2 linked regions of the Caenorhabditis elegans genome follow. The protein of the gene in region 2 interacts with the protein of the main gene of each other region in a pairwise test. Each region holds a gene or a part of one and is shown on either strand. Other genes may lie near its edges.

Evidence for each region.
Region 1: the proteins of abl-1 (region 2) and swsn-1 interact in a two-hybrid assay, tested with the Caenorhabditis elegans proteins (2 studies listed by BioGRID).

What each region holds. Positions count from the first base shown.
Region 1 is NC_003283.11:20,246,483-20,251,175, reverse strand, and holds the start of swsn-1 (SWI/SNF complex subunit SMARCC2), read left to right. Parts: upstream 1-1,693; 5' UTR 1,694-1,715; coding exon 1,716-1,830; intron 1,831-3,426; coding exon 3,427-4,052; exon of another isoform or gene 4,053-4,693.
Region 2 is NC_003284.9:10,621,148-10,626,159, reverse strand, and holds the start of abl-1 (Tyrosine-protein kinase abl-1), read left to right. Parts: upstream 1-1,970; 5' UTR 1,971-2,013; coding exon 2,014-2,015; intron 2,016-2,125; coding exon 2,126-2,181; intron 2,182-3,452; exon of another isoform or gene 3,453-3,577; intron 3,578-5,012. UniProt on the Caenorhabditis elegans protein: Functions downstream of migratory protein mig-13 and is involved in Q neuroblast migration during larval development.

The DNA of each region.
Region 1 (4,693 bases), on a different chromosome or scaffold from region 2:
GATAATTCCAAAAAAGCCAACTTCGGAGACAGATGTGACTCGGAAAAATTCGTGATTTTAGCTAAAATAAGTGTAATTTTTTCAAAATTTTGAACCGCCATAAAACAATTTTTAAAAAATTTAAAATTTTTGAGCAGTTTTATTACAAAATTCGTTCATTTGAGCTCATTTTAGGCTTCTATACGTTCAAAATCGTCCGAACCGTTTTTCCAATTTTTTGAATTGATCTCGATTTATCGCTCTATTTATCACTAAATTGTGTACTTTTTTTTGTGTATTTTTTATATTTATTCATTATTCACCATTATCATCATTGTGACGCTTTTCATTGAACAACAAAACAAGACATTTTTCAAATTAATTATCGTTTTTTCCGTTGTATTTTCAACTTTTTTGATGTGGTTAAATACCCCCCTCAATGCTCTATTTTTGCTCTTTTTCAGCTCGAAAACTGGAATTTCTACTGAAATTTACGTAATTTTTGCCATTTTTTCGCTGAAATTTGCTAGAAATCGCTAAAAAATGCGAATTTTTCGGAAAAAAAGCCCGATTTCCTCAATTTTCATCAAAAAAAGTTCAAAATAACTACAAACTACAGCTTTTTGGGCGCTGCTAAAACTACAAACTACAAGTTTTGGGCGCTGCTAATTCAAATTATAGGCGCTGCTAAAACTACAAACTACAGCTTTTTGGGCGCTGCTAATTCAAATTATAGGCGCTGCGAAAACTACAAACTACAAGTTTTGGGCGCTGCTAATTCAATTTTAGGCGCTGCTAAAACTACAAACTACAAGTTTTGGGCGCTGCTAATTCAAATTTTAGGCGCTGCTAAAACTACAAACTACAAGTTTTGGGCGCTGCTAATTCGATTTTGGGCGCTGCTAAAACTACAAACTACAGCTTTTTGGGCGCTGCTATGCTTGAATTTGTCAATTTTTTCGATTTATTCGAATTTTTTCGCTTAAAATCAATTTTTAATCAAATTTTCTTCAACTTTCCTGAATTCTAACTACAAACTACAAGATTTTAGCTCGATTTTTCTCAAAAATGCTTCAAATTTCGGAAATTTTCCGGGATTTTTCCCTGGAAAAATCGAAAATTTTCAAATTTCCTACAATTCCCGCTCTATTTTAGCGCTGCAAAATCCCAATTACCCCAAGAAAATCGATAATTCCCCCACCGTCCTACAGGTCCCCCCGTATTCCATTTTCTGAGCAGATGTTCATCCCGCGTTCTCTCTCTCCCTCTCCACGAGGCCTCCTTTCTCTGCGCTCTCTCTCGTTTCTCCACACTATTTCTCTCGTTTTCTCTGTTTTCTCTGGCGTCTCTCACTACGCGCGAGCTCCCTCACACTGCCGCCTTGTTTGAATCTACGCGGGCCTCGATATTTCGATATTGGACCAATTTCGACCAATTTTCTCGCAGTTTTTTGTTAAAAGTCTCTTTTTAAGGTTATTTAGTCATAATTTCATTGAAAATTTCGAAAGAAATTCCAAGAAAATACGAGATTTTTGCAGTTTCCACAGTTTTCTGTTAAAATTCTTGATTTTACAGACATTTTTCCTAGAAATTTTGCCGTTTTTCTGCTCACTTCAGTGAAAAAAATCGATTTTTTCGCAATTTTCTGCCCATAAATATGCTTTTTCCTCGCTGAAAACCCTGAAAATCTTTTCAATTCCCCGCTAAATTTCAGCAAAATTTCGTCGAAAAGTGGAATGAAGAAGGGAGCGTCGAAGCGGAGACGCGACGACGATGACGGTGACGTTTCGATGACCGGCGACGACGATGATAGCAGAAGTGGTGCCGCTGTGAAGGTTGAAGTGCCGAAAGGTAGCGAAATCTGTGTGGAATTTTCGGCGAAAATGCGGAAAAATAGCTCTGAAAAACGCATTTTTTAGTGATTTTCTCCGACAAAATCGAAAAAAATCGAGCAAAATCCGTGAAAATCTGGCTCCGGGCAGCCCGAATACCCTCAAAAAGTGCAATTTCAGCGTCAGAGCTCAAGTTTTTGCAATAACTGACTGGAAAACTTTGATTTTCTGGGAAATTTGCATAATTTTTCCATTTTTTCCGGAATTGAGAGTTGAAAAACGCAAAAAATTGGTTTTTTACACTCGAAAATGCTTTTTTCAACACATTTTTTACGCAAAAGTGAACTTTTTTTTTTTCAAGTTTCATTCGAAAAAGACCGAAATTTGAATTTTGGGCGCTGCTAAGCTAAATTTTAGCGAAAATTGGTCAAAATTCGAACATTTCCAGAGCGCATTTTCAAAATTTCTACTCATTTTTTGGAAAAAAAATCGGAAATTTAAATTTTAGCCAAAAATGGAATTTTTCAGCGCTTTTTCTTCAGATTTTCTTCGAAATTTCTGAAAAAATCGCATTTTTATCTGATTTTTCCAGAAAAAAACCAATTTTTCGGTCAAAATTGCATTTCAGGACCAAAAAAAACCAGATTTTTCCAAATTTCCTTCCTAAAATTTTTTTGGGCGCTGCTAAAGCTACAAACTACAAGTTTTGGGCGCTGCTAAACTACAAACTACAAGATTTGGGCGCTGCTAATTCGATTTTGGGCGCTGCTAAACTACAAACTACAAGATTTGGGCGCTGCTAATACAATTTTGGGCGCTGCTAAACTACAAACTACAAGATTTGGGCGCTGCTAATTCAATTTTGGGCGCTGCTAAACTACAAACTACAAGTTTTGGGCGCTGCTAATTCGATTTTGGGCGCTGCTAAACTACAAACTACAAGATTTGGGCGCTGCTAATACAATTTTGGGCGCTGCTAAACTACAAACTACAAGATTTGGGCGCTGCTAATTCAATTTTGGGCGCTGCTAAACTACAAACTACAAGTTTTGGGCGCTGCTAATTCAATTTTGGGCGCTGCTAATTCAATTTTGGGCGCTGCTGACCGATTTTGGGCGCTGCTAGACTACAAACTACAAGATTTGGGCGCTGCTAATTCAATTTTGGGCGCTGCTAACACTACAAACTACAGGTTTTTTGCGCTGCTAATCCAATTTTGGGCGCTGCTAAACTACAAACTACAAGATTTGGGCGCTGCTAATTCAATTTTGGGCGCTGCTAACACTATAAACTACAGGTTTTTTGCGCTGCTAATCCAATTTTGGGCGCTGCTAAACTACAAACTACAAGATTTGGGCGCTGCTAATTCAATTTTGGGCGCTGCTAACACTACAAACTACAGGTTTTTTGCGCTGCTAATCCAATTTTGGGCGCTGCTAAACTACAAACTACAAGATTTGGGCGCTGCTAATTCAATTTTGGGCGCTGCTAGACTACAAACTACAAGATTTGGGCGCTGCTAATTCAATTTTGGGCGCTGCTAAACTACAAACTACAAGTTTTGGGCGCTGCTAATCCAATTTCCCCTCAATTTCCAACCAATTCTCTTTTGCAGGAAAGGAAAAAGACGCCGAATTCAGCGCACCAAAAGGCCAAAAGCTCACTGATCTCGACGAAGAAGGTGTCCAATCAACAAAAGAAGCTCCACAACTCGCCGAAGGAAACGTCATTGAGCAGACCCACTACATTGTAGTCCCCTCATACGCCGGCTGGTTCGACTATAACGCAATTCATCAAATCGAGAAACGCGCAATGCCTGAATTTTTCAACGGAAAGAATAAGAGCAAGACACCGGACGTCTACGTTGCCTACCGTAATTTTATGGTCGACACGTACCGTCTGAATCCATTTGAATACGTGTCTGCGACGGCTTGTCGCCGGAATTTGGCCGGTGATGTGTGCTCAATTGTGCGGCTTCACTCGTTTCTCGAGCAATGGGGCCTGCTGAATTATCAAGTTGATTCGGATGCTCGGCCGGCTCCTGTTGCTCCGCCACCAACAAGCCATTTTATGGTTTTAGCTGATACACCGACTGGCATTCAGCCAATGAATCCACCTGGAAAGGAGTCTGCTGGAGCATCTGGGGAGCCACCAAAAGAGGAGATTAAGACTGAGATTGAGTCCATTTCGACGCCCGGCCTGAAAATTGATCAGTATCAGAAGCAGGCCATCGCGATGAGAGTGCGTACCTGGCGTCTGCCTTGGTTTTTCAGTGCAAATTTGAGAAAAATTGGAATTTTCAGTGCAAATTTGAGAAAAATTGGAATTTTCAGTGCAAATTTGAGGAAAATTGGAATTTTAGTGCAAATTTGAGAAAAATTGAAATTTTCAGTGCAAATTTGAGAAAAATTGGAATTTTCAGTGCAAATTTGAGGAAATTTTGAATTTTTAGTGCAAATTTGAGGAAAATTGTAATTTTTAGTGCAAATTTGAGAAAAATTGGAATTTTTAGTGCAAATTTGAGAAAAATTGGAATTTTTAGTGCAAATTTGAGAAAAATTGGAATTTTTAGTGCAAATTTGAGGATAATTGGAATTTTCAGTGCAAATTTGAGCATTTTCCGGCTATTTTTGAGCGAAAATCGGCAATTTCACACAATTTTTCATCGGAAAAATCGATTTTCACTGAAAAGTTTTAATTTTTCGACCAATTATTATGGAAAACCCGAAAAAATCCCTCAATTTTTGAATTTTTCATCAGAAAAATCGATTTTCGCGAGAAATTTTCTGATTTTTCGGCCAATTGTCATGAAAAACCGAAAAAATCCCGCAGTTTTTGAATTTTTCAACAGAAAAATCGATTTTCACTGAAATTTTTCGAAT
Region 2 (5,012 bases):
TAGGAATCTCCTTTCCAGAAGTTGTTTCGAATGAACGCAATGGCAAAAATGGAAGGAAAAAAGGAATAATTCGTCCTTTGCATCGACATCTTGTTGTGTTCTTTTTTGTCCCTCTTCATTCTATTGGCGTGTTCGGGATATTATCCTCTCCTCGCCAACCAGCAGCTACTACCAACTTTTTTGTCGATGTTCGTCTTCTCTTGTGTTTTTGTGTGTTCCCATTTAGTTTCAGTTTTTGTTCTGCGCATTTCACAAAACTTTACTATTTTCAAAGTTCTTCGACACGCAAAAAACTCTACAAAAGTTTACTTTCAACTTTTTTTCGTATTTGGATTTATTTTAGCTATTTTTTTTAACGACTGGTTTAAATAAAAATAGGATGGGAGAAATTTTAGTAGACTTAATATGTAAATGTGAAAGAATTTTAGTAGACTTAATATGTAAATGTGTAATTTCCAACAATTAAACGAGGAGAAAAGACGAAAAATAAAAAAAATTATCGAAAATAGAACACTTTGTCACCATCAAAATCACTAACACTAGCAAAATAGCACAGTTTCATAGTCATATTACATATGCATGTTATAACAACAAACCTATTTTCATCTTTTGAAAACCCTACACACAATTCCACTTTTTTATGGAGAAATACAACCACATATAATCTTTTGATTTCAAAAAGTTATTTGTAATTGCCAAGCATTCATTACTTGGAGATCACGTTTTCCAAAACATCTTCGTCAGCAATTATTAAAACTTGGGAGTTTTTTTAAAGAATTATTGTATGCATTAGAGTGCGTTCTTATTGAGTGTTTCAAGTATGGAATTTGTTCTCAATTAACAAATTATTCTTAAACACACAATTTAAAATTAGTGCTTCATGTACAATTATATAGTCCGTGAAACAATGCAAATCTCCAAAAATTTTTAAACTTATTTAAAACTTGATAGGTACTTTTCAGCATATTTTAGTCTAAGGAGCCCTTTTATTGTTTTCAAAATAGTAGGACAGCAATTTTCTAATGAGTTAGAATTCACTCAACCAACCCTCAGAGGCATACCGTACTGTTTCTTCAAAATTTTGATTCTTTTAGTTTTGATTTCCATTTAAAAAATGCGTCAATCTGAATACTACCTATTGTTCAACTTTTCTATTTCAAACTGCATTCCCATACTCTTTCGTCGCTCCAATTTTTATGGGACAAAATTGGCGGGGGTTTTGAGTACCTCCTGGCCTCTCGTCCCATTCTTTGTGATCACACTTTTTGTTTCATTTCACACTTCATCCCCACACTTTCAACCGATACGAATTCGTATCGCAGATTTGTATAAAACATAGCGAAAAAGGAACGGCGACAAGTTTTGATTGGTTTTACAATGCAAAACTTTTTTGTTTATTAATATGTATGGTCTTGTCAATAATTGTTAGATTTTAGATTTGTAATTGACAATTTGTTAATTGGTTTAAAACTATGGTTTTTGCGAATACACAAATATCCGAATAGCATAACTTTTTTTTAATTATTAAATCACCACAATTTTGTAAAACAACTAAAAACTAATTATATCCAGTTTAAACATTATCCATTCATTTCGTATGCATATAAGTTCAATCAGTTCAAAGTATTTGTAGTCTCTACTCCGCGTTTCCAATCTCCTCTAGCTTAGTACTATTTATCTGACAGGAACTGTTGTTATTGTTTGACTAGCGAATAGGCGTTAGTGTTGAACCAAGTGCGCAGTAATAAGCAGTGAACAACGAGTGAGAAGTATGCAAGCGCGCTCTGCTGGTCACTGGATGGGTTATGAGAAAAGAGAGGGCAGCCGGGTACTCGACACATACCTTCACACCAATTGCGCGTCCTTTCTTTTTTCCTCCATGTTCTTTTTTTTTTGTCTTCTTCGATTTTTTCTTTTTATTTCTTTTTTTTAATTCAAGCCAAACTTCATAATTTTCAGGCTTTTCTAACTTTGAAAACATCAAAACATTCTCCCATGTAGGACTTAACAAAAATGTGAGTTCAGTTCATTTCATAATTCTTCTCAAAAACTATAAGGCCATGGTATTTTGTTTATTTTAATTTTACGAACAACATATACTAATAAAGAAGAAAATGTTTTTCAGGGGTCATTCACATAGTACTGGGAAAGAAATCAATGACAATGAACTCTTCACATGTGGTAAGCATTTTGCGCTTGAAAATTGTGAAAATTACTTTTCAACTAAAAACAAATATAATTTCAACATTTGAGTTTGGCATTGGATTTCAAAAAAAAAATTGAATGGTATAATTTCATACCATTTGGAAAAATTCAGCCTTGAAAAATATTAACTTGACGAAACTAATGAATATTTGTTGATTCAAAAGTTTTCCTAAAAAAATGATTATTGTTTGAAACTCATTAAAAAAGTACTGATAAAGTTTACGATTGTTTCTGAAGTATCAGCTTTTGTTTTTCTATTTTTCAAAAAAAGGAAGCTGCTCTCAGTTTTGAAAGAAAATAAGGCGAAATTGTAAAATAAATTATACGTAAAGTATTATAAAACTAATATTTTGTAATTTCTCAGTTTCTCAAAAAAAAAAAGTTCATGTTAAAACATGAAAAACAGTATGTTAAGTTTTATGTATTGTTTTTAACGTTCCTTCTACTTTTCGATGAATTGTCACAATCTCATTCGAAATTGTCTGCCCACAATAAGGCCCTTCGAGTGTAGATGACAGATTCAGAACCGCTCTTAATGCTTTATGCGGTTAGGTTCTCTAATCCTCCAAGTGTTCGGTTCCCTTCGTATTCCCGTTCGCTGTAGATATATGCCGGAGAGGGTGTGGGGAGGGTGAGAGATCCTCTTCTAAAGTCACAAGTAAACGAGACGCGGAAGAAAACGAGAGTAGAGATAGTAATAGCTGGTATGGTGGATTGAAAGAGAGCATGAGTGGAAGACGGGACGCAGACAAACCAAGAGGTCACATCTCCCTTCCCTCGTCCGTCAACTCCCGGTCCCTAGTTTGAGGACAACGCATGCGTGATCCAAATATGGGAGACTATCCAATCAAGTGTATCTTCTCTACTCATCTAGAATAATTAGATCATAATTTTTTACAAACTACAATATTTATAAAATTATACACTTTTAAAAGGTTTAGGCATAATTTATTTGGGAAAGGAAGTTTGGAAGAATAGAAAAAAATGGAATAAATCCAGTTCCTCTCCCCTTTCCCGCTTTGCCGCCTCCCGGCAAAACGTCGCTTCTCCAACTTGTTATTCCAATTCAATAGGTTTCAATGCCATATTCGCAGTTATAAATGCTCGACCCCTATTGACTATTCGCATTTTATTCACTTCACTCCAGTTTTAACTAGATTTACCATTTCCCCCCATCTTTTTTCTCCCTGGGTCAGAGAAGCAGCTGGACTTGTGTTAGTAGTACGACGAATCGCCCTTCTTCTCGTTGACCAATTAGAAAATGTGCTCTGGCACATTTTCCTTTCTGTGTGGGACTGAGAACCACGGGGGACACCCAACCTCCTGTTCTTCATTCTTTCTATCCAATTTTTATGATGGATTTGGTGCGACGCGTATACAATGAATATAAACGTTCGCAAGTCCACACCCATTTTTACAATTCCCTAGACATTGACACGGCATGTGACAATATTGAATAGTTTTGCTAATTTTGTGTTACTCTCGAAGAAACGGCATTGTCTCTGCTTTTTTTGTTATCTGAAAAAATAAAATCAGTTAGGTGTTTCAGTAGAATTTTCAAAAATAATTTACATCAGACAAACCGAGCTGAACAACCAAAATATATCCTAAATCAGATTTGACGAAGTTCAGATCATTGATCTTTTTCATAACGTGATTAAACACAAAACTATAAAAGTTTTATGAAATAGAAAAGAGAATACTAATTTTAAAATCTTCCGGTTCCGGATTTGTGTATGTGTTTGCTTATCAAATCACAGTTCTTACATGTATTTTTTAAGTGAAAAATCTATTAGGTCTCCAAATAAGTTCCGGGTCAAAAATCATAACTTTGTTCTCTGTGTATCGATTTTTATGAAACTTTGGGAATTCATGTTATCAACAATGATCTTTCATTTGACATCAGTCACAAAATTTTTTGTCCACCCCAAGTGTCCTAACTCGGAGCCAATTTTTTCAGGCATTTTTCCTATCTCGCTTCTAAAAGAAGACCTTTGAATTGAGGTTTGTGTGCGGATTTCGCCTTGCTTAAAATACATTATTAGAAAACGACAAAATTTTAGAAAAAAATCCGTCCAAAAAATTTTTTTTTGGTTGGTCGTCAAAAAATGTTCAAAAAAAATTTTGTCGAAAGTTCTAGATTTTCCCTACAAAAATGATGTAAACAAGCGTGAACTATTTTTACACATACAAAACATATCAATTTATTTCGATACACCAAAATGTTAATAGAAAATATAATTTTTTCGGATAATTTTTGAGTTTTTTGAATATTTCTCGAGATTCAAATTTCAAACTAAAACGATTATTATATATTTAAAAAAAATTTTTTGGACGGATTTTTTTCTAAACTTTTGTCGTTTTCTAATAATGTATTTTAAGCAAAGCAAAATCCGCACACAAACCTCAATTCAAAGGTTAAAAGAAGCGAGATAGGAAAAATTCCTGGAAAAATTGGCTCCGAGTTAGGACACTTGAGGTGTACAAAAATTTTTGCGACTATTGTCAAATGAAAGAACATGGTTGATAACATAAATTCCCAAAGTTTCATAAAAATCGATACACAGCGAACAAAGTTATGATTTTTGACCCGGAACTTATTTGGAGACCTAATATAAACCTCGTTTCGAAGTTTTGAAAATTGTATACCGTATTTCTTCTATTAATATGACTGCAATACTATTGTTCGATGGTCTTCCCGCTTGCAATACTAATAGGGAGTGCAAGACTATTAGGGAGTGCAATATTAATTTTCAGAAAATTTTTCTGACTTTGAGCTTTCTGATTTTTTTTCTGAAAAAACTCGA